Linked DNA regions of Caenorhabditis elegans. The protein of the gene in region 4 interacts with the protein of the main gene of each other region in a biochemical or structural test. Each region holds a gene or a part of one and is shown on either strand. Other genes may lie near its edges. The genes, in order: gpr-1, gbas-1, rgs-2 and goa-1.

Evidence for each region.
Region 1: of the proteins of goa-1 (region 4) and gpr-1, one has a biochemical effect on the other in vitro, tested with the Caenorhabditis elegans proteins (2 studies listed by BioGRID).
Region 2: of the proteins of goa-1 (region 4) and gbas-1, one has a biochemical effect on the other in vitro, tested with the Caenorhabditis elegans proteins (one study listed by BioGRID).
Region 3: of the proteins of goa-1 (region 4) and rgs-2, one has a biochemical effect on the other in vitro, tested with the Caenorhabditis elegans proteins (one study listed by BioGRID).

What each region holds. Positions count from the first base shown.
Region 1 is NC_003281.10:8,627,268-8,631,325, forward strand, and holds gpr-1 (G-protein regulator 1), read left to right. Parts: upstream 1-1,658; 5' UTR 1,659-1,689; coding exon 1,690-1,937; intron 1,938-1,988; coding exon 1,989-2,489; intron 2,490-2,539; coding exon 2,540-3,147; intron 3,148-3,199; coding exon 3,200-3,420; 3' UTR 3,421-3,509; downstream 3,510-4,058. Other genes in the region: polk-1 (DNA polymerase kappa), read right to left, coding at 1-65, 116-471, 520-754, 823-975, 1,029-1,229; DnaJ homolog dnj-10, read left to right, coding at 3,908-4,001. UniProt on the Caenorhabditis elegans protein: In the 1-cell embryo, probably together with gpr-2, controls nuclear rotation and spindle elongation during mitosis. Complex of gpr-1 and gpr-2, in association with lin-5, activates G-protein signaling to affect mitotic spindle force.
Region 2 is NC_003280.10:2,502,876-2,507,898, reverse strand, and holds the start of gbas-1 (G-protein alpha subunit activating protein gbas-1), read right to left. Parts: upstream 3,022-5,023; 5' UTR 3,018-3,021; coding exon 2,888-3,017; intron 2,260-2,887; coding exon 1,986-2,259; intron 732-1,985; coding exon 511-731; intron 1-510. UniProt on the Caenorhabditis elegans protein: Acts as a non-receptor guanine nucleotide exchange factor which binds to and activates G-protein alpha subunit goa-1.
Region 3 is NC_003284.9:12,710,832-12,715,674, forward strand, and holds the start of rgs-2 (RGS domain-containing protein), read left to right. Parts: upstream 1-1,821; 5' UTR 1,822-1,829; coding exon 1,830-1,912; intron 1,913-4,843. UniProt on the Caenorhabditis elegans protein: Weakly inhibits G protein signaling in nervous system, interacting preferentially with the G(O) subfamily member goa-1. In vitro, it acts as a GTPase activator of goa-1.
Region 4 is NC_003279.8:7,520,254-7,527,262, reverse strand, and holds goa-1 (Guanine nucleotide-binding protein G(o) subunit alpha), read right to left. Parts: upstream 5,148-7,009; 5' UTR 5,054-5,147; coding exon 4,893-5,053; intron 4,593-4,892; coding exon 4,451-4,592; intron 3,232-4,450; coding exon 3,071-3,231; intron 2,867-3,070; coding exon 2,738-2,866; intron 2,690-2,737; coding exon 2,560-2,689; intron 2,225-2,559; coding exon 2,071-2,224; intron 2,019-2,070; coding exon 1,945-2,018; intron 1,522-1,944; coding exon 1,408-1,521; 3' UTR 551-1,407; downstream 1-550. UniProt on the Caenorhabditis elegans protein: Guanine nucleotide-binding proteins (G proteins) are involved as modulators or transducers in various transmembrane signaling systems. In the 1-cell embryo, probably together with gpa-16, controls nuclear rotation and spindle elongation during mitosis.

The DNA.
Region 1 (4,058 bases), on a different chromosome or scaffold from region 4:
TCACCAACAGTTTGAATATCCATTGCTTTCAGTTGAGCTTCGCATACACGACCAATTCCTCCAACCTAAAAAATTATCTAGGTAAAACTAGAAGGTTATGCTTTAATAGTCTCACCTTACGAATCGGTAAATCCTTCAAAAACTCCATAATCGCGTTTTTATCATTTTCTAACACATATTGACCATTTGGTTTGTTCAAATCAGAACAAATCTTAGCGAGCATAAAGTTAGATGCGATTCCAGCAGAACATGTTAATCCCGTGAGTTGTTCAACTCGAAATCGAATTTCTCGAACAGCCTCCTCTCGTCCAGTTCCGAACTCCACATGGTCGTAGTAGATTTTCCGCGATTTTTCGCATTTTGGACAGATCGATTCTTCGATTTTCAAGTCTTCCAAAGTATTTTCATTCTCGTCGAAACGGGGTAACCAACATGGACAATCTCCGCCGAATCTGTGACGCTTGAAGGTTTCTAGTAAGCAAATAGTTTTTTGTTAATAATCAAATCTAAATCACTAACTTTTTTCTGTATTACTTGCCACATAGTCTGTCAAATCTATAAATGCCTCATCCAATGACATCATTCCAACATCCGAATCGTATTCCATGAAAATTTGTGAAAATTGGCGACTGACTTTAGTGTATTTAGGGTAATTTCCTGGAACAATCGTTAGACTCGGACAAAGTTTATTTGAGATGAAGCCAGGCATTCCAGCACGGACTCCAAAACGGCGAGCCAAGTAGTTGGATGTGCTCTGAAAGAATAGATTTAAAGCTTTTCCGAAATCGAAAATTTACTTTTCAAATTGAGTTAGGTGCTTACCAGCATTGCCGATGAGCCTACGGCCATAGGAACTGTTCTCAGTGCAGGATTATCTCTCATTTCAACTGCGGCAAAATAAGCATCCATATCTATACAAACACAGTCTCTTGATAAATCTCTAGATGATTCCAGTTTCATCTCAAGATTCTCCATCTGAAAATTGGAAATTTGCTCTAAGTAAATTTATTAGCTTTTAAAATACATACCAGTATCTCAGATTTTTGTCTTTCTTCTCTGGTTGCTGTTTGCAAACGATTTTTGATTTCTAAAACTTTCTCTTCAATTCTTGATTGTTGTTTTTTGGAAAACGACGAGTAGGACGCTGATGTGTTTTCTTCGATGACTTTCGTGATTTTCTCCTTATCCAGTCCATTCATTCCAGCTTTATTATCGTTGAAAGTCAGCATTTTTCACGAAAAAGAGCCGGATTTTGAAATTCGCGGAGAAACTCCACTGATTGTGAGTGTGCAAATGCGCGTAATGGTGTACTTACGTACATCGGCAACACATTTGACGACATATCAGAAAGCGGCGCCAAATTAGAAGTTGAGTGCGCGAGAAAAAACTACGCGTTAACCGCCAATTTTCACTTCCCCACAGATCTGTCTCGAGATTCTCGAGTCATTTTTCAAGTTTATTTGTTTGTCAGCGGTTGTTTTATTGAAGATTTGTAAAATTTATAACAAAATGTGCAATAGTCTATTAAACCTCGTGAGATATTTGAAGAAACTTTCCCCGTTTTAAATATTTCGTGTATTCGTGGAGATCGCGGGAATGTTTTGCCTGTTTCCGTAAAATTCCTCTATTTCTTTTATTTTTGCTTGCAATTTTCGATTCATTTCAGAAGTTTCCACATTCGCAAAACGAATGGACGTCTCTTATTACGATGGTCCCAAGGATGAAGTCGCCGAAGCAATGCTGAAAAGCGCGGTGACGGCCATGAGATTGGGACAATACGAGGATGGAAAAGGACGCTTAGAGGAGATAATGGAGTTCGGAACCTCAAATTTTCAACTACTTGGTACAATCTACATGTATTACGGAAGAGTGTGCAGGCATTTGAACCATGATGCCAAGGCCTTGGAGTTTTTCGAACATGAGTTGAACATGTTCAAGTAAGTGAATCACAAAAATGAGCTGGACATTCTATAACCTTAATTTTTCAGATTGATCTTCAACTACCCAGAAGCATGTGATTCCACACGTCGCATCGTCGAGCAGGCACTCAAAATGGGAAAGTTCCCCAAGGCTCGACGGTTTGCTGAGGATCTCATTGATTACACCAGCAATAAGAAGAACGGAGAGAAGTATATCGGTCAAGCTCGAATTTTGTTCGCTTCCGTGTGCCTCGAAGGATGTGAAAGAGACGTCGAGAGTAATCAAGATGAGAAGAAGAAGCTTTTGTCAATATGTGCTGAACAGATTGCAGCCGTGAAATTGTTCAACGAGAATAATACGGAAGGAGCTGTGTCTGAGACCAAAATCATGTTACTTGAGGCGAAATGCTTGTCACTAGACGAAAAATACGAGGAATCGCGTCGCAAGTATCAAGAATGCATCGATTTTGCCATCAAAACAGACCAGTTTGAAGCAGTTCACATCGCCTATTACGACAAGGCTCTATATGCTGAGACAGATCTTCTTTTCTTTATTATCAGAGATCTCAGGTAATTTTTAGTTTTAACGATTAATAAAAATATCAATTCTTTATTCACAGAAGTGCTCTCTTCTACGCCACGAAATTCGGAAAAGAGCGAGATGTAGTCAAATATAAGTCGAAGCTATCCGAAGAGATGCTGAGAAATGGCGAATTCCACGAAGCATATCTCTACGGATTGGAAGCGCTTGTATCGATTCGGAAGCTTGGATTGAACGAATACATTGGAGATGTGTTGCTTACAATCGCAAAGTGCCTCATTGCACTTGGAAAAAGACGCCAAGCTGCTTATTTTATCATCTTGGGGAGTGTTCTGACCATCAACCAAAACAGTTTCAAACTGTTCTACGAGCAGATCGACGTGGCGATGAATCAAGAGAGAAGCGAAACGGCAACTGATCAAGATGTATGCCTCGCAATTGATTCGTCTCCTGATCCGACATCCTCGAATGACATGATTAATAAGTTCGTCGTCGAACTGGAGCACGCAACAAATGTGGAAACCTGGGAAATGATTGTCAACGGAATCATTGACGACCAGAAGAAACCAGTGGCGATCGAAAAGAAAGAGAACGAGGAACCCGTAGACATGATGGATCTCATTTTCAGTATGAGCTCACGTATGGATGATCAAAGAACTGAACTGCCTGCTGCCAGATTCATTCCGCGTAAGAAATGTTATAAATAAGCGTATAAGTATGCAAATTTATATTTTTCCAGCTCGTCCAGTGTCATCGGCATCGAAAAAGACTACAAAGAGTCACAGAATCCTCCCTGGACTCCGTGCCAATTGGACAAAAGTGCAGTCGATGAAGTTCGATGGTCACACAATGAATAGGATCCTGAAGAGGTCGAAGAAAAGCAAATCGTCATTGGATTCTACAAATTCGATGCAGGGCGATGATACTCGAAGCGATGATGTGACAATGACGTCCAAATAGGACCATTATTTTTTCTGTCAAATAATACAATCAAACTTTCTTTATTTATTTTTTTTTTACTTTCTTTCAGTAAATATTATTATCATTTTAGTGGTTCTTTTATTTTATTTGCTGGTCAGAAAAGCTGATTTTTTCAATTAGCGAAAATCCATCAAGTCATATTTCTATAGACTCTTTACTACATACGTTGATGACTTTCGTGATTTTCTCCTTATCCGGTTCATCCATTCCAGCTTTATTATTGTTGAAAGTAAATAAGCATTGTTTCCCGAAAAAGAGCCGGATTTTGAAATTCGCGGAGAAAAAGTTGAAAATTGAAAAATCCAAACGATGCTCCGATGTTCCGTCCGAAATGTGTGTTTTACCGTGACGGTGTTTGCAGACAGCTTGAAAAAACATTTATTTTTTTATTTTAATTTTATTAATTTATTATTTATTTTAGAATGTTCTATATTTTAAAATGTGAATTTGTTTCAGGGTACTCGGAATGTTTGTCTTAAACCGTTCAAGCGGGCTCATTCATCGATCTGTACCTTTATTAGCTCAAGTATCCACGCCTACGACTTCCACAACAAAATTAGGTTAATAATTCTCCATTTGGTGATAAACCAATTCTTTTCTGCTTTTTTAAAACATTA
Region 2 (5,023 bases), on a different chromosome or scaffold from region 4:
TACTGTAGTCGGTGTTTGCGTATTTTTGGCGCTACCGTACCCCTCAAAGTGTCAAAATTGAGCTAGCGAGCTCTAGTTTTTTGTGTTGAGTGTCAAATTTTGAGGGGAACTCGAATTTGTCACTGAAACTGCCAATTTCCGAGTTTCAGTCTAGGAATTTCAGAAAAATACGGTTTTTCAGATTTTCAAATTTTTTTCTGCGGAATTTAAATATGAAATTCGAATTCCCCACTATTTTATTAGTCTATCCCTGAATTTACAGCTCAAAATTCGAAAATCGCGTGAAATCCGGTGTTTCTGGGTTACTGTAGTCGGTGTTTGCGTACTTCTGGCGCTACCGTACCCCTAAAAATATCAAAATTGAGCTAGAAACCTCTAGTTTTCGATTTTCAAGCTGGAATTTCGCAGGGAATTTGAATTTGATAATGAAAATCGAGAAAATTTGACTTCAGACCGATTTTCAGACAAAAAATCGGGGGGTTTTCATGGAATTTTCAGCGGAATTTTTACCCGAATCATCTTCAGAATCCGAGTGTTCCTCATCCCAATGGGTGCACACATCACTGCCAATAATTACTCCAAATTCGTCAAATTCCACGTGGAATTGCTCGACGAGCCACTGCTTTTCAGCATCGGTTACGACTGGCATTTCACACGCGTAATATAGATCAACTTTTTCTTCTGGCGTCAATCCGAGCACTTTGTAGAAGCATTTCGAGTAGAAGCTGTAGCTGAAAAAAATTGGGGAAATTTGCTGAAAATTTGGCTGAAATCTAAATTTTTAGAACTAAAATTTGAAATTTTCTCCGAAAAATGGTCGGAAATATGGAAAATTCCGGCTTAAACTTGAGTTTTTGCTAGAAAAATGCACAGAAAACTGAGAAAATTCGGTAAAAAGCGAAAATCTTTTTTTTTGCGAAAAAAAAACCAATTCTCAGAAAACCGCCAATTTTTCAGGGGTTCAAAATTTTTTCTACAAAATTTGAATATTAAATTCAAATTCTCCGTCATTTTCTTAGTCTAATCCTAAAATGTCAGCTTAAAATTCGAAAATTGCGTAAAATTCAGTTTTTGGGGTACTGTAGTCGGTGTTTGCGTACTTTTGGCGCTACCGTAACCCGGGCAATTTCAAAATTGAGCTAGAAATGCCTAGTTTTCGGCGTTTAGGCCAACAGTTTGCAGGGAATTTGAATTTATCACTGAAACTGCTCATTTCCGAGTTTCAGTCCAAGAATTTCAGAAAATTGTTGATTTTCAAATGTTCAAAAAATTTTCTCGTAGTTTTCATTGTCAAACTCGAATTCCCCGCCATTTTCTTAGTATATCCGTGAATTTTCAGCTCGAAATTCGAAAATCGCGTAAAATCGGGTGTTTTGGGGTACTGTAGTCGGTGTTTGCGTACTTTTGGCGCTACCGTGACCCTCGAAATTTCAAAATTGAGCTAGAAACTTCTAGTTTTCGCGTTTCAGCCTAAAATTTCATAGTGAGTTCGAATTTGATACCAAAAATGCAAAAATAGTCGGAATCGTTCGCGTTGCGGTCGCGTCGCGGTCTTTGACTGAAAAGCTGCACAATTTTTCAAAATAAAGCTAAAATTCAGATTTTTTTGGTATAAAACTGAAAATCGAAAAGAAATCCGGGTTTTTTAAAAAATTCCACAACATTTTTGTATTTTTTCGCATTTTTTCTAAAATTTTCAGGTGCAAATTGTTTTCTCCGCATTTTTATTATGAAATTCGAAATCCTCGCCATTTTCTTAGTCTAATCCTGAATTTTCAGCTCAAAATTCGGAAATCCCGTAAAATCGGGTGATTTAGGGTACTGTAGTCGGTGTTTGCGTACTTCCGGGGCTACCGTACTCCTCGAAATTCCAAAATTGAGCTAGAAACTTCTAGTTTTCGATTTTCCGACAAATTTTGCAGGGAATTCGAATTTTTTCATTAAAATGTTTGATTTTTGATTTTAAACGGTTCACAAAACCCTACTGATAGCGATATTGTTTCGGTAGTCGATATCCTTGAATCTCTCGTTTATATCGTTCCCAATATTTCATTGAATTTACGCCCACTCGTTTTTTAGCAACTCTTCCGACTCTTCCAGGCTTCTGGCTCCGACATTCGTTGAGCACAAATCGAAAAAGTTGCAAACTTTCGTCTTTTTTAAAGAAATCCTTAGTTCCACGGGTTTTATTCACTCTTTTCGAGGATTTAGGCGTTGAGGTGTATGGGCTCTCCGATGGCTCCGAGAGCACTTCTTCTTCTGAAAAAAGAAAATTAAAAAATTTCACAAGTTTTTGAGTGAAAAATGAAAATTTGGGCATAGCTTCAGCATCCCCGGTGACAAATGTGCTCTATTGCACAAATTGTTGGCTGGAATACGGTATTTATTGCATGTTTCAGCCGAGAATACCAACTATTCAAACCATCAATTAGGATAGAAGCACACAAGTCACAGAAATTTCAGAATTTTTGGATTAAAAAATGAGTTTTTAAAGTCCTACACGTATAGAATAGTGTTTTTTTTTGGAAAAACTGATGAAAATACTAAGTATAATTCAAATTTCCAACAAAAAAACGAATTTTCCAAAAAAAAATCCTTCATTTTGAAGGAATTTTCGAAAAAATCCTGGATTTTTTTTGAGATTTTTTTAAAAATTTGATTTGATGCATAAATTGCAAGATTTTTATCTGAAAAAATCAAATTTACAATTAGTTTCGATTTCTGACAATAGAATATTCAATTTACTCCGATTTTCCCCAATTTTTTTCAATTTTTTTGAAGAAAAATCTATTTTTGTCGTTTTCAACTTAAATTTGCTGAATTTTTCGATTTTTTAATTCTTTTCCACAATTTTAGTTTCATTTTTCGAGTTTTTCCAATGCTTTACCATCATCTTCCCGCTCAAAATCGGCGTTATCCACCTCATCCAGATCGATTTCTTCGAGATCCTCGTCTTCATCAAAAACGAAGCGTTTCACTGGCTTCGGAGTTCGTGAGGAGCTTCGTACCGACCTCATTTTGCTGAAAATTACATTTTAAAGTAAGGAAAATTGATGGAAATGCAAAAATTAACGGAAAAATGGAGAAAATGTCAGAAAAACTTTAATTTTTGCGCTTTTTCAGTGAATTTTAGGTTAGATTAAAGCGAAAAATTCGATTTTTTCAGAAAATTTGGTTTTAAACGAAGAATTTCGAGGATTCGAGTCGAAAATTAGTTTTTAAATTTGAAAAAAATAAAATGCTAAAAATAGAAAATTGAAAGCGCGCTCCATTGGCACGCGTTAGAGAGCGTGAGACGCAGAGAGAGTGCGGGAGAATTTATTATTTAAATTAAAATAATAATTCTTTCCCGTTTTAACTGGAATTTTATAATTTCTTGAGAAATTTCCATTGAAGAATGTCCGAAAATCAAATAAATTTTAATTCTATCGAAAATATTCAGGTTTTCTTCAGTTTCACGAAAATGTTCATTTTTTCAGTCAAAATTGAGCTTTGGAAAATTATTAAAAATGAAGGAAATCGGAGCTAAAAAACAATTTGCATAGGAAAATTCGAATTCCTTGCAAAATTTCAGTCGGAAAATCTAAAACTAGAGATTTCTAGCTCAGTTTTGAAATTTCTCGGGTTACGGTAGCTCCGAAAGTGTGCAACTACAGACTACAGTATCCCCAGAAACACCGGATTTCACGCGGTTTTCGAATTTTCTTCGGAAAATTTAGGAATAGACTAAGAAAATGGCGAGGAATTCAAATTTTTTTATTAAAATGTGGAGAAAAATTTTTGAAATCATGAAAAATGTGCATTTCTATAAATTATTAAAATTATTATGCTCTGACTATCTTTTTTTCGATAATTTGTGCTAAACTGGACTTTTAAAGTATTTTATAATATAATCTAGAATATATAGATAACAAAAAAAATCTTGCGTTTTGTTATCATTACAGAAAGTATCAATTTTCCACCCTCCCGTCCACTATCTATTCCCTCTAGTGTCTCACAGCCCAAGTCTCTCATCTCTCAATGCTCTTTCTTTTTCCGAATTTCCCTTCATTCTGCCTCCAAGACAGCCTACTGAATGGTTGTCCCCCGTATTCTTCCCCAATTTTATTGATTTTTTAAATAGTATTTAGCTTTTTAAATATTTTTTTAAGACAAAAATCGAGTAAATGTAAGTTTTTTGCTACTTATTTCAATCGGTATTGATGTTTTAAATGATTTTTTTTCAGTTTTCCTCAATATTTTTTCTGCTCAATAAACGATATTATAATACAAGTGTGAGAAAATTTATTACTGACCTAGTCCCTAACCATCCAAGAGGGGACAATATTTGTGTAAGTTTTCACCCACTTAGTCCCTATTACTTTTCAATTATTTTTTCAGGCAATTCGTTAATATCAAATACTGGTTTTGCCAGAAGAAATAAAAATCCAGAAGAAAGAAAAATCTTTTGTTAACAGTTAAATGGCAAGCAGGGTACAATATAATTATTAATAAATGTTTTTAAAAAAATTGTGTTTAAAGTTTTTTCATCAATTGAAGGTCAGGGGAAATTGGGTTGTATACGACTTTGTCTGGCACAAATCTCAAAAAATCTCTGTTGTTTTTTCACTTTCAAGAGTACATACATTTGGTTTTAAAAATTTATAATGTTTTTTTTTAATAACCACAAAAATTTAATTTTAATTAATTTCAATCGAAAATTTAATTTTTAAAAAGTCCAAAACAAAAATTTCAGATATTTCAATTTTCAAATTCGAATTCTCCGCCATTTTTTTAATCACTCTGCAAATTTTCAGCTCAAATTTCGAAAATCGCGTAAACTTCAGTGTTTTGGGGGTACTGTAGTCGGTGTTTGCGTACTTCTGGCGCTACCGTACCCCTCGGAATTTCAAAATTGAGCTAGAAGTTTCTAGTTTTCGAGGTTCAGACTGAAATTTTGTGAAGAGTTCGGAAAAAAAGCATTGAAAATTTTGAAATTTAAGTTCTAGATTAGTTATCAAATTTTTTTTTCATTTTTTCAGAA
Region 3 (4,843 bases), on a different chromosome or scaffold from region 4:
GCACTACCAAATGAACGTATTTTCAAAGATCCTATAACAAATGTTCGCTAACCCTCGTTCCAGGCACTGTTTTTCTTACATTGATCGCTTAGAAGTTTTTCAATTCAATTAAACATACCATTCTCATATCCAATTTCATCGAGGGATCAGTGATCAAATCTTTTTTGATCCACTATTATTGTTTAGCATTGTTCATTCAAATGTCAATATTGCCCTCGTATTTTTTTTTCATGTCGTTGCAAAATCCAGTACATATTAATTGCGTAGGTGATTTGAGAATAAAAGTTCATTTTTTTGCGGAGCATTTGAGATGGTTCGAAAAACAACTGATTCTGTGGAAAATGTTCAGTGAAGTAATTTTTAACATCAGAAAGATTCATTAGCTGTTTGAAAATAAGAATGATTAGTACGTGAGAGTACTGTAGGGTTACTGTAAACACTAGGAACACTAGGTGTTCTGTACTCAAATTTCCACCAATTTTTTTTATTGACATTATTAAATTGTTCAACGTATTCAAATTGAAAACTTAACAGTTCCAGCCCTAAATTCGTTTCAATTGGATGATTTCCTATACATTAGTGCCAAAAACCACAACCCATTAGACTGCATCCGTGAAATGTGGTGTGCTAGCTCAATTTATAAATTGAATGCAAGTATTTTGGTCTTCAGTGAAATGCTAATTTGGAAAGTATGTTTTTCATTTTAACATTTGCTTTTAGGTGTTTAAGTGAACATTGAAAAAACGTATAAACTAACAAAAAACTGACTTTCTCAGTTTTTTTTTTGCTTTTTTTTCTTCTCTTGTGTGGAAAGCCAACAAACCAATTGGTTTTGTTTCAAGTGCCCAAACATGTTGTGTTTTTTTAAACTTTGTAGCTGTGGTCAAACTTGACAAAAGGGCTAACATGTTTTCTCATAAAAATAATAAATTAATTAAAACAATTAAAATCTTGTTTTTATGCTAATTTTTTTGATTTGGAAGTAATGTGGAATCTAGTAGTAGGAAAATCCTATAATTTCGAATAACTTTGTCTTAAATTTCCGCAGTAAAAGTTTAATATTTATGTTTACATATTTCTGGAATGGGAAATCAGAACAACATATTTTATGCAACAATAATCATATTCCATCCCACACACTTTCATTCGCAATCGCCTTAAACGGTTTCACACATGACAAAATGTTTTTGGAAACTATTCTGGTTTTTTTGTATATTTGCTTTGAAAAAAAAGTGAAAATTTTCAGTTTCTTCCTGAAATGTAGAGATTTGTAAAATGTTGCTAATTTTTTTGTTAATAATTAAGGAATTTTAATTTTACAAAAGTAATGTGCTAAAGCAGGGGTGATCCATTTTTAAATTGAAACATTACAGTTGTTTAATCTAAGCAAATTAAAAAAATATATACTAAATCCAAATTGTGTTTTTATAATAGTTTTAACTTTCAACACTTGAAAATCTGAAAAAGTTGTTCTTTTGCCAAATGTCAAACGGATCGCATGACACGAGACCTCCAGAGCGTCAGTGGCCCCAGTATCTTTTGAATTTTCACTCATCATCCATATATTCATTAAATATAGTGAGAGAATGAAGGGAAAAGGGAAAGAAAAAAGAAAGAAGTGGTTCTAGTATTATGTATGCGTGTGTCCGCGAGGCATCGATATATTCCGCCACAGCCACAAGTGTCCCATCCTCTTCTTCTCATCAAGGTTTTTTCTTCAATGAGGTTCTATTCATTTTCTAAACTTTTTCCTTTTTGAACTTTTTTCTTCCTTTAAATTCATGTTTTGTTTGAAGTTTATTTTACCGGATAAACTTTCAGAGGCAAACATGTCATGTGCAATAAGTTGTTTTGGAAAAATCATCGTTTGTGTCACTCACAATTCTTCACCAAGCGGTAAACCGTATGTCAGGTTAGTTGAGTTTTGCGTTGAATTTAATTGTTTGAGTAGGTCATAACCAAATTTTCGTTAATTTGACACTTGTATAAGCTTGTTTTTTTAAGACAACAAGATTTATATAGCATTTTCTATGTTAATTCTGTGTCAGAGAATGTTAATTAAGCAGTAATTAGCCCCAAAGAGAAAAACTTAGGTGATAAATTAAAACCTTTAGAAACACACTTCAGAATCAAAAGTTCAAATTAATTTCATTCTTTTTATGGTCCCTCAATTTCGTTCCGCAACGTGAACTTTGCGAAATATTATAAAAAACTATGTCTCCCCTTTATGTTTGCTCCGACCTCTTTTTTTTTCTTTTTATTCCGTCTCCAATCATGCAGTTCTCATTAAATCTGATTCACTGCAAGAAAAAAGTGCGTATGCTCAGGCGTGCTCAGTAGCTCACTTGCCTTCCTCACATGAGGAAATAATGAAGAGTAGCAGTAGAAGAAGCGGATGGAAATTGAAATGAGAATGAGAGGACAGGAGACGGAAAAGAAAATGTATTCGATTAACCAAATGTTACGTGACAAGGACAAATATTCCATTATTTCTCTAGTCAACAGCCAAAAAATTAACGACAGTTGTAATGCAACACTTCAAAAAATTAACAACAAAAGGTTAAAAATTAAAAACTTTGAAAAAACCGCATAACATTGTGATTATTGTAATATTAACTAATGCCGTGTATACTTCAAATTGTATTTTTCAAAAATGAAAAGAAAGCAAATGAGTGGCAAGTTCAGCTTGCCCAAATACTCTTTATTAGTGCTGCACTTTATTGCTAAACTTTGCTGCTCATATTATGGTTCTCTTCTTTTTTATAATACAACAAAAACAGAATAAATAATGCTCAATTATTTTTCTATAGTTGCCTAATTAACTGCTTAATGATATCTTCAAAATGGACCGAAGTATATCTTTCCAAAATGGAGCAATGGAGCGCAGCACTGATCGAGACCATAGGGTAGTAATTTGGAAATTCAAAAAGTTGCGAATATATACAATTATACCATGTTTGTTATCAATCAAAGGAGAGCTTCGTAATTCACTGCCCATTCCCGACGCTGTTGCCTTCTGATAGTCATTTATTTCAAGTTAGGCGCAGCAGCATGCTGCGCCAAAATACACATTCATAAGTAATTATAGGATAGGTGGTTGCTAGAGAAATCTAAATTAGAGGTTTGTCATACTCCCCGTATGGCTGCGTCAAGGATTCCAAAATTTATAACTGAAACAACAGTGATACAGAAGGCTTTGCAAAATCTTCTCTGATAGTTAGACAATTTCGATATGAGGATTCAAATTCATACAACAATCATCTACATAGATAAATAAATAAAATGAATCTAAGCCAAGTTGCCCTGACAAAGTCTTCTGAAACAGGTGTCATATCCTAGACAGTCATCCTTGCATACGTCAATGGTAACTGAGTTCTATTCTGCGTTTTATCTTTCTCATTTTCATTGTTGACTACATTTGCAAGTAAGAAAGCGCTGGCTCTCCAACTTCTCCACCCAGTCATTAGAAGAGAAGCGATCATGTAGATTTGATGACATGACCAACATTCTTGCTGTAATTGCAGCTTCGGAAGAAGAAAAAAAAACTTCGAACTTGAAAATCTTGTTTCTTCTATTTCTCGTCTCTGTTTTCTTTCCGAAGTTCTTACTCAAAACTCTATTCCACGGTTCTACGTAAACTTCTGAAGAATACAAAAATGAGTGGTCCGAACCACGCAGTGGTTTTTGACAGCATTGGAGGAGAAAATCAAGCGGTTCATCAACCGACGTCTATCAGCCGTTGGAGCAAGTTTTTCAGTGTGGTCAAAGGGTTGGGATGCATTCGATGGACAAGACACAGGTATTTTCTCTGAATCCTCTTATAATTGTTTCTGCTTTGTGCGCATGAGTTTTCTTTTAATATTCTATCAAATCAAAGGGCCGTTTACACTAAATTTGGGAAAGTTGATGGTATCTTTCTCTCTCTTTCTCTCTCTCTCTCAAAATAATTTTTTGCTTAATCTACTAAGCAATTATCAAAATGCGGCTTGCACTTCTCCGATTGACTATTTTTTGCTAGAGATTTCGTTTAAATAGTCTTTACCTTTAAACATTTTCACTTCATTTTACAACTATTTCTTCCAATTTTTTTTCTTATTTTGCTGAGCTAAGATCACTGGTCAAATCACTAGAATCACTAGAATCAACAAAAAAAACATCATCAAGAGCTCTCCAAGATCTTCTTTGAAAACGACAAACAACGATTGCAAACAGTGAAATTTGCACCTGAAATAGTACTACGTCAGCAGCTTAAGTGTGAGCGGAAAATATCTCGAATCCAAAGGACTCCAATATTAAGGTGGCAGGTGTATCTGGTCAATATTGAATACATTTACTTGAAAACTTGCTCGGCATCAGTTCATTAAACTTGCGATTTTCGGCTTTATTGGATCTTACTTTGTCGAGGTTCTACTTATTCTCACAACTTGCTGCGAATGCGTTCTTCAGGTTCTTGTATCATGGCTTTAATCGATTCTCTGATTGATTTATGGTAAAGTTAAATGTTTGAAACTTCTCGACAAGCACACACGTGATAAGTTGGTGAAAACAATAAACAGCGATTTATGTTGCTACGCAAATTCCTTTAAACTAACAATTATGTTTAATTTCAATTATTCTATGTTTCTAAATTTAAATAAAAATTGAAGTGGCGTACCGCTTGTACATATATCATATTAAATTTTTGAAAATAAAATTGAAATTTGTATTTACTTTCAAGTAAAAAAAAAACTTGAAAAAGTTTGCGCAACTTTTTGGGGAAAAAAGGTAAAAACCATGTTTCCCCCGTTTTTTGATTCGTAAATAAAAAGTTCAAATTTCCGTTGAAAAGTTTCATTATGATATT
Region 4 (7,009 bases):
GGAAAGTGTATGAGATATTCTCTTTTTTTTGGCAAATGAACAGAAAAAGTGAAAGTTTATCACATAGTGGGAGGAGGAGGGAAAAGCTGATGGAAAATGAACACAATTGTGTGACAAAAAGGACACATTTTTAGATGATTGTTGTAAAATTTAATGAAACTTGACATTTGGAAGGTTTTTCGCTTTAGTAACACTCACTTCCGGGTCATTTATCTTGAGAAAATCATTATCTGAAGACTATTTTTGGGGTTTCCCACTTTTGATGTTATAACAATAGGTTTTGATTTTTTTAAATCTTGGTAATGATGGGGAAATTGTTTTAAACCATGCTAATAATTCAAAATAACAATTAAATTTTAAATTCGCGCGCGAGGTTTAAACTTCTTGGTGGTTATTCAAAAAGGAGTTCAGGGAAATTTAAATTTTATCGAGTTTTAAAAATATTGGTTTTTTATCTAGACATATGTACGGTAGTCCCATATGCAATTTCCCATGCAAACTAAATCACTGTACTTTTGTATCCACCAAACTGAATTTGTACGAAAACTAGTTGAGGATGTCGTTTATATCAAATAAGATATCAATGAGTGGGTGCAGTCGACAATAAACCAATGCGGAAAATATCGTCTACTGCACACCATCGTGCTCACCGACAAAAAGCGAGACGATTTTAAAGAAAAAAGATGGAAAAATGAAAAAGTAAAAGAAAAAATAGGGAGAGGAAAACAGCGAGAAAAATGAGTTTGGAAGTGTGGTTTTAGGAAAAGGAGGGAAAATGGATGAGAGGGGAAGAGTAGAAATAGAAAAATACCAAAAATTAAAAATAAAATCTTTAAACATAGACAAAAGCTGCCATTATTTAACTGTTAACAGTGACTAGGTGTGTTGAAAAATGGGAGAAAAGAAAGAAAAAAGGGGCAAAGCTTTATAATTCGGGGTGAAGAGACCTTTAGGGGGTGTGTGGCGGAACGGGACGAATTCCAACTGAATTTAGATTTTTAAAGTTTTCTTGTTTTCAAATAGCGATAAGGCTACACGGGAGTGAGAAGGGCGGGGGATGTGGCGTGAATAATGACAATATATAATAAATAAGAAAAAAGGAAAAAATAAATAATTGTGAGTTTTATGTGTTATTTTTGTGACAGAAAAATTAGGGATCCTAGTTGAGAAAAAGAAGGGCGGTGAGACTATTATGAATGAATCAGAGGTTAAAAAAAAGCCCATATACATCTGAAATTGCAACTTTTTCCAAAAAATAAAAACAGTTGCAACCATAATGTACATGTAAAGCTCTCAAATTATAGATGCATACTCGGGGGATGAGAAAAATAACGAATCTTTAAAAATTTGGGAAAAGTAAGCAAAGATACACACAGAATGGTAGAAGAGGGCGGCGAAGACGACAGCTTAATACAAGCCGCATCCACGAAGATTATTGGCAATAATCACATCGGTGACAGCGTCAAACACAAATTGAATGTTAGTTGTGTCTGTGGCACATGTCATGTGGCAATAGATTTCCTGCAAATAAGAATATTATTTCAAAAGAAAACAAATTAAATGAAATAATGAATTAAAATTATTACCTCAACACTCAACTTTAACTACCTATTCAAATATGAAACTACAGTAACCGCAATATCGGAGAAAATGTCGAGATAGTAAAAATCTCAAATTTTGGTTGTAATTACTTAATTGAATACGATTCAGAGATTTTTCTGGTTATCATTTTCTGTGACAGATTAACAAAACAATTGAATATTCGTGTTTACTTAAAAAAAATTAAATTTTATAAATGTTTCACACTTCAAAAAATTTCCAAAATTAACTAGATATTAAAAATTATAAAAAATATTATTCTAGAAAAACAATTTATACTTTTCGTGGAACAGGAACCCCATAGGCTTCTCTGATTTCATTGATTTTTAGACTTTTTTTTCTTACCTTATTCGCTGATTTGTTTTTAGCCTCAAATTGTGCTTGAATATACGCAGATGCCTCGTGGTAGTCTTGTCGTCCTACAGGGATTAAGAAATTAAAACATTTATTGGAAATTCAATTAAATTTTACCTGAATATTCTGGGAAGCAGATCGTTAACGGGCTTTTCTTGATTTTCTCTTCAAACAGATCCTTCTTGTTCAGGAACAGAATAATCGATGTATCTGTGAACCATTTGTTATTACAGATCGAATCGAACAGCTTCAGCGATTCGTGCATTCGGTTCTGAAAATATGAAATAAGGAACAATAATGAATAATAATGAATAATGAATAATAGAATGAATAATAGAATATAATTTAAAAAAACGAGTAATTTTTAAATTATCATGTTTCTTTTATTTTGGCAAATATATTGTCGGTCAGAAGTTGCATTTTCGTTAGAAAAATTAGAAGAAGAACATTATTTTTATTATTGTAAAAGTCGACTCGAACGACCAAGTCATGATTGGAAAATCGTTTAAAAAACATAAAGTCTCTAAACGATATTTTCTAATTTTAAATTTTGTCTGTCTTTTTCAACAAAAAAGCTTCTAAAATATTAAAATATCAATTTCTCACTGTTGTCTCATCTTCGTGCAACACTTGATCATACTCTGACATGGCAACACAGAAAATAATAGCAGTAACATCTTCGAAACAATGAATCCACTTCTTCCTTTCTGATCTTTGACCTCCCACATCGAACAATCTGTAAATATTCATTATTAAATATTATTTTTTTATCAAGAAAACTCACTTGAAATTGAGATTTTTGAATGTGAAGTGAACTTCAACAATACCAGTTGTTTTGACACGAGTTCGGAGAATATCTTGCTCAGTTGGTTGATATATTGCCTCTCCTAACCTTTCCAGGTCGTCAAGGAAACTGAAAAAATGGTTATTAATAAATTCTATAAACTGCGAAATTTCTTGAAATTTTAAATTTGGTAATATTGAAAATGAGCTTGACATGTAACATATTGATTCGAAATTTAGGAAACTCTTCTCAATTTATGAAAAAAACCACTTTGGTTGTTATGGAGATAATAGTTACTTGAAATAATTTTTCAAAATTTTGAATTAAACTTACTATTTGGCTGAATCATTCAATTGATACTCGTTACTCCTTGAGAAACAATCCTGTACACCTGCGTCTCCCCACAACCGTTTCATTGAACTGAGCAATTCTTCTGAGAATGGCTCTGTGTCCTCCATTCGTGCCACCACATCCATCACTAATTTTGCATCTACCTGAAACAAAAAACTTTGATTTTAGTTCTCGATAACTTTATTCGCTGATGAAAATTGAATAATTCACAGCATGTCATGTACATCATTTTCCCAATTTTCTCACAAAATTGAAATTGGATCCTTGGCTCTCTTCCAATGGTTTGTCCAAAGGTCTCAAAATGGTCATTTTATTTCAATTATCTCAAATTACTTTATATTCGGTGACATGCATAGTCACGTCTTGTTAAGATTAAGGATATATATAAAATTGAATGATAAATGTTCGATCTTCACATCAAAAACTTTTTTACGTTTTCGACACGACAAATTTTTGTTGAATGCTAAAATATGTTTATATTTATTCTTACGATTTGTTAAAGTTAATTCGTAAATATTTGATTGTTATTTATTAATTTTTAAAATAAATGAATACGTTTTTATTGAATAACTATGAAAAATCGATTAAAAATTTGGCTGCAACGAAAATTAAACATTACAGTACTCTTTAAAGGCGCACACCTTCTTGCATTGAACACAAATTCATCGTATAAAAACCGGGAATTGCATTTGTGACGCAATAACAAAACATTTGACGTCTGAATGATGTAAAATCTTCTCCAAAACGTTGGGAACATTTTTTTCTGATGATTTGCCACATCAATCGAAAATGTGTTCCCAAAGATTTTCCAACATTCTAGAATCCCTTCCAAATCCCAATTCAAAATTCCTGCCTCGAACATATATTTTTGGAATACTAGGTCGAGTCTACGAGTTTGTCGGTGGCGCGTCGCGCATCGAAACTCACAAGGGAATTGGAATGGGACGGTGGTGTGGTAGCGGGATGCATTGAGTGCAACGAGAGGCAATAAGAGTTGCAGAATGTAAGAGAGAGAGAGAGAAAAAGATACCGAGCCAATGAATACAACAGATTATGTCATTTATTCTCATGCTCTTCGTTTTTCGTATCTTTTTATTCGTTATTTTCCAAATATTTCGAATTACTCTTCAGAACACGGGAAACATTTTTAATTGAATAATGTTTATGTTCTATCTATAGATCACAATCGCAAGTAAATTTCAGAAAAATAAGTTTTATTTTGAAGTAACGTTTTTGTCGTGCTAATCATTAGCAGCTAATGGACCGAAATTAATTTTTTCCATTAAGGGATCACTTGAAAATTTCGTGCCTCATTTTTAAATAATTTCGATTTTTTTGCAGAAAAATTGTCATAATACTCACCTCTCTGTCAGCCGAACCAAATGAAACGCCTAAGTTGCTCATGGCTCGCAAAATAGCGACCAATGATTGAACCGTGTTACTGTAGACAACCGGCTTGTACTGTTTGTAGTCTTCTGCTGTGAATCCCGATTCGTGAATAATTCTGAAAAAAAAACATTAAAATGTGAAAATTTGTAAAGGCGTGTTTCAAATTTAAACTATTAGAGAGTTGAACTTACTTTTCAAATTTTGAATACGAAAAAAAAATTAATAGCAGTCTCTAGTGATTTATTTACTTTTTAATTAAATTTAATTTTTAATAATTCAAATCGATCAAACGAAATATTCGGACGTTCTATGGGACAATTTCGGATGATAAATTCTGAGTTTTTCACCATTTATTTCTACCATTTTCGTTTATATATGTTTTAATTTGTTATTTAGAAATTTAAAAAAATCTCACTTCATCTGTTTTACAATAGTCGATTTTCCTGATTCTCCTGCACCAAGTAGCAGCAGTTTGATATCTTTTGCCGCTTGCATGCCGTCTTCTTTAAGATTTTTCTCAATCATTCGTGATCTTTCAAGAGCGGCACGCTCTTCCTGTGACATGGTACAACCCATGGCGCTAGAGTTGATGAACGGTGGACCCTATGCCCCGGTAGCGGTCTCCACTTGATATCCTCTACTCACTCACTGTATGTGGTGCAGCTCAGCGCTGAAAATAAATTGAAAAAATTAGAATCGAAGTAAGTTATAGCGGGTTAAAAAATAAGGAAAAGAAAAAGCAATCGAGCGAAAAAAAGGGACACAGTGAGATGGAGAATGAAGAAATGGATGGATGAGGGATCGAGGGCAGAATATAGATGAGATGAGAGGAGATGACAAAAATGACGAATGAGGAAAATAGAGGGTGCACGTCGTCAAGGCGACTAATTTTTATTGAATTTTCTTACTTTTTCATTAATTTATTTTAGTGGTAGAAATATGCAACCTACAATACTCTAAACAGGGCCTTTCTAATTTTTGCGCAAACATTTTTTCAAATCAGACGTTCTCTCAGATTTCTTTGGAGCAGCGTCAGTGGGGAAATTGTTAAAACGTTTGCATGTTCGAATCCCTGCAATGTTTGAGTACTAAATTCGAAGGTGAAATTTTTCTTGATCTACGACAGAAAAATGTACTAACTGTTAAACTTGCAGATGAACTAAATTAGTTATATTTCAAGAATGATCAGAGATTGTTCATTCAGTTTTCTATTTTAGAATCAATTGGTTTAATCTGAAATCGAAATGAAAATCAGCTAATCGAGGATAAACATGTTTTGCAAAATCAACCAAAAAGAAATTTTACTACATGCTTCCGGCCGGGTCAACGTTCTCCACAAAAAGGTTAGAAAATAGATAATTTGTAAAGAACAGAAGCAAAAAAATAGACGACAACGTCTTCGATTTTTCCGTTTTCACTGCTTCTGCTTCTTCTCTTTCTTCGTTGTCGTCGTCGTCCTTCTTTTTCTTTTTTTTTTGCGTGGCGCAAAAAAATGGGGGAGCAACTGCGACGACGACGGCGAGCAGGATGGTGGGGTTGGAGAAGGAAAATAGAGAGAAAAGCGAGGGCGAGGAGAAGAAGAAGGTCATGGGCATAGCAGAAAAGGGGTAGTAGTAGCCAGGGGCAGCCAGTAGCCGAAACAGGAGAGCCCCATCGTTCAGGGGGCAGCGACAGTGAAGACGAGGGTCGGCGGCTACTTGCGTTGCGTGTCGATTCGAATTTTAAATCATGATGAGGATCAGAACCATGCAGATATTCTAGTAGTCGGAGTTATCTGATCACAGGCGGCGTTTGAGTTAAAATCTTAAAATATTGCATAAAAACTTAAATTGTCTGACAGCCTTAATAGCGACTTTATGATGCCGAAAACTACTATTTAAAATTTAAGTTTCAATCGACGAACAGCGCCGTAGACTAGGTCTCCGTGAACCAAAAGCTATAGGAACATAAAGCCTTTTTCCATGTGCCTAATTGTTTTATTTTCATAATAAATGCATAGACAGCACTGGCAGCGATACACAAGGAGACATGTTGAGTGCCGTACACCGGAGACCACAGCTGGACCCTCTTACAGATTTTCCAGTCGAAGAACGGAGACGAGGGGACACGAATAATAAACAATGAGTGAAAGTATGAAAGGGAAAATCAAGAAAAGATAAAAATAGTGGATTACGCAGAAATAAAACCTTAACTTGAAATATTTTACTATTAGTTTGGAATTTAACCTTATGGGAAGCTCATTCATGAAAGTGTTCACAATTCTCATAAAATCGTTCCAATGTGGTTTGAGCCAGTAAATATGGCGGGGTTTCCAATAAGAACTGTTATTGAAGAACGTAGAAACAGAAAGATTATTTGGCAAATTTGAAACTGAAAATGTCATTTGTCTGCGGAACAAATATTTTTTAAATAATTATTTTTATTTGAACTCCCAGTCTTCTATTTTTCGATAAATTATAGGACATACAAAACAGAAATCAGGAACCAACGAGCGTTGCGGCAAGAAACGATGTGTCACAAAACATATGCAAA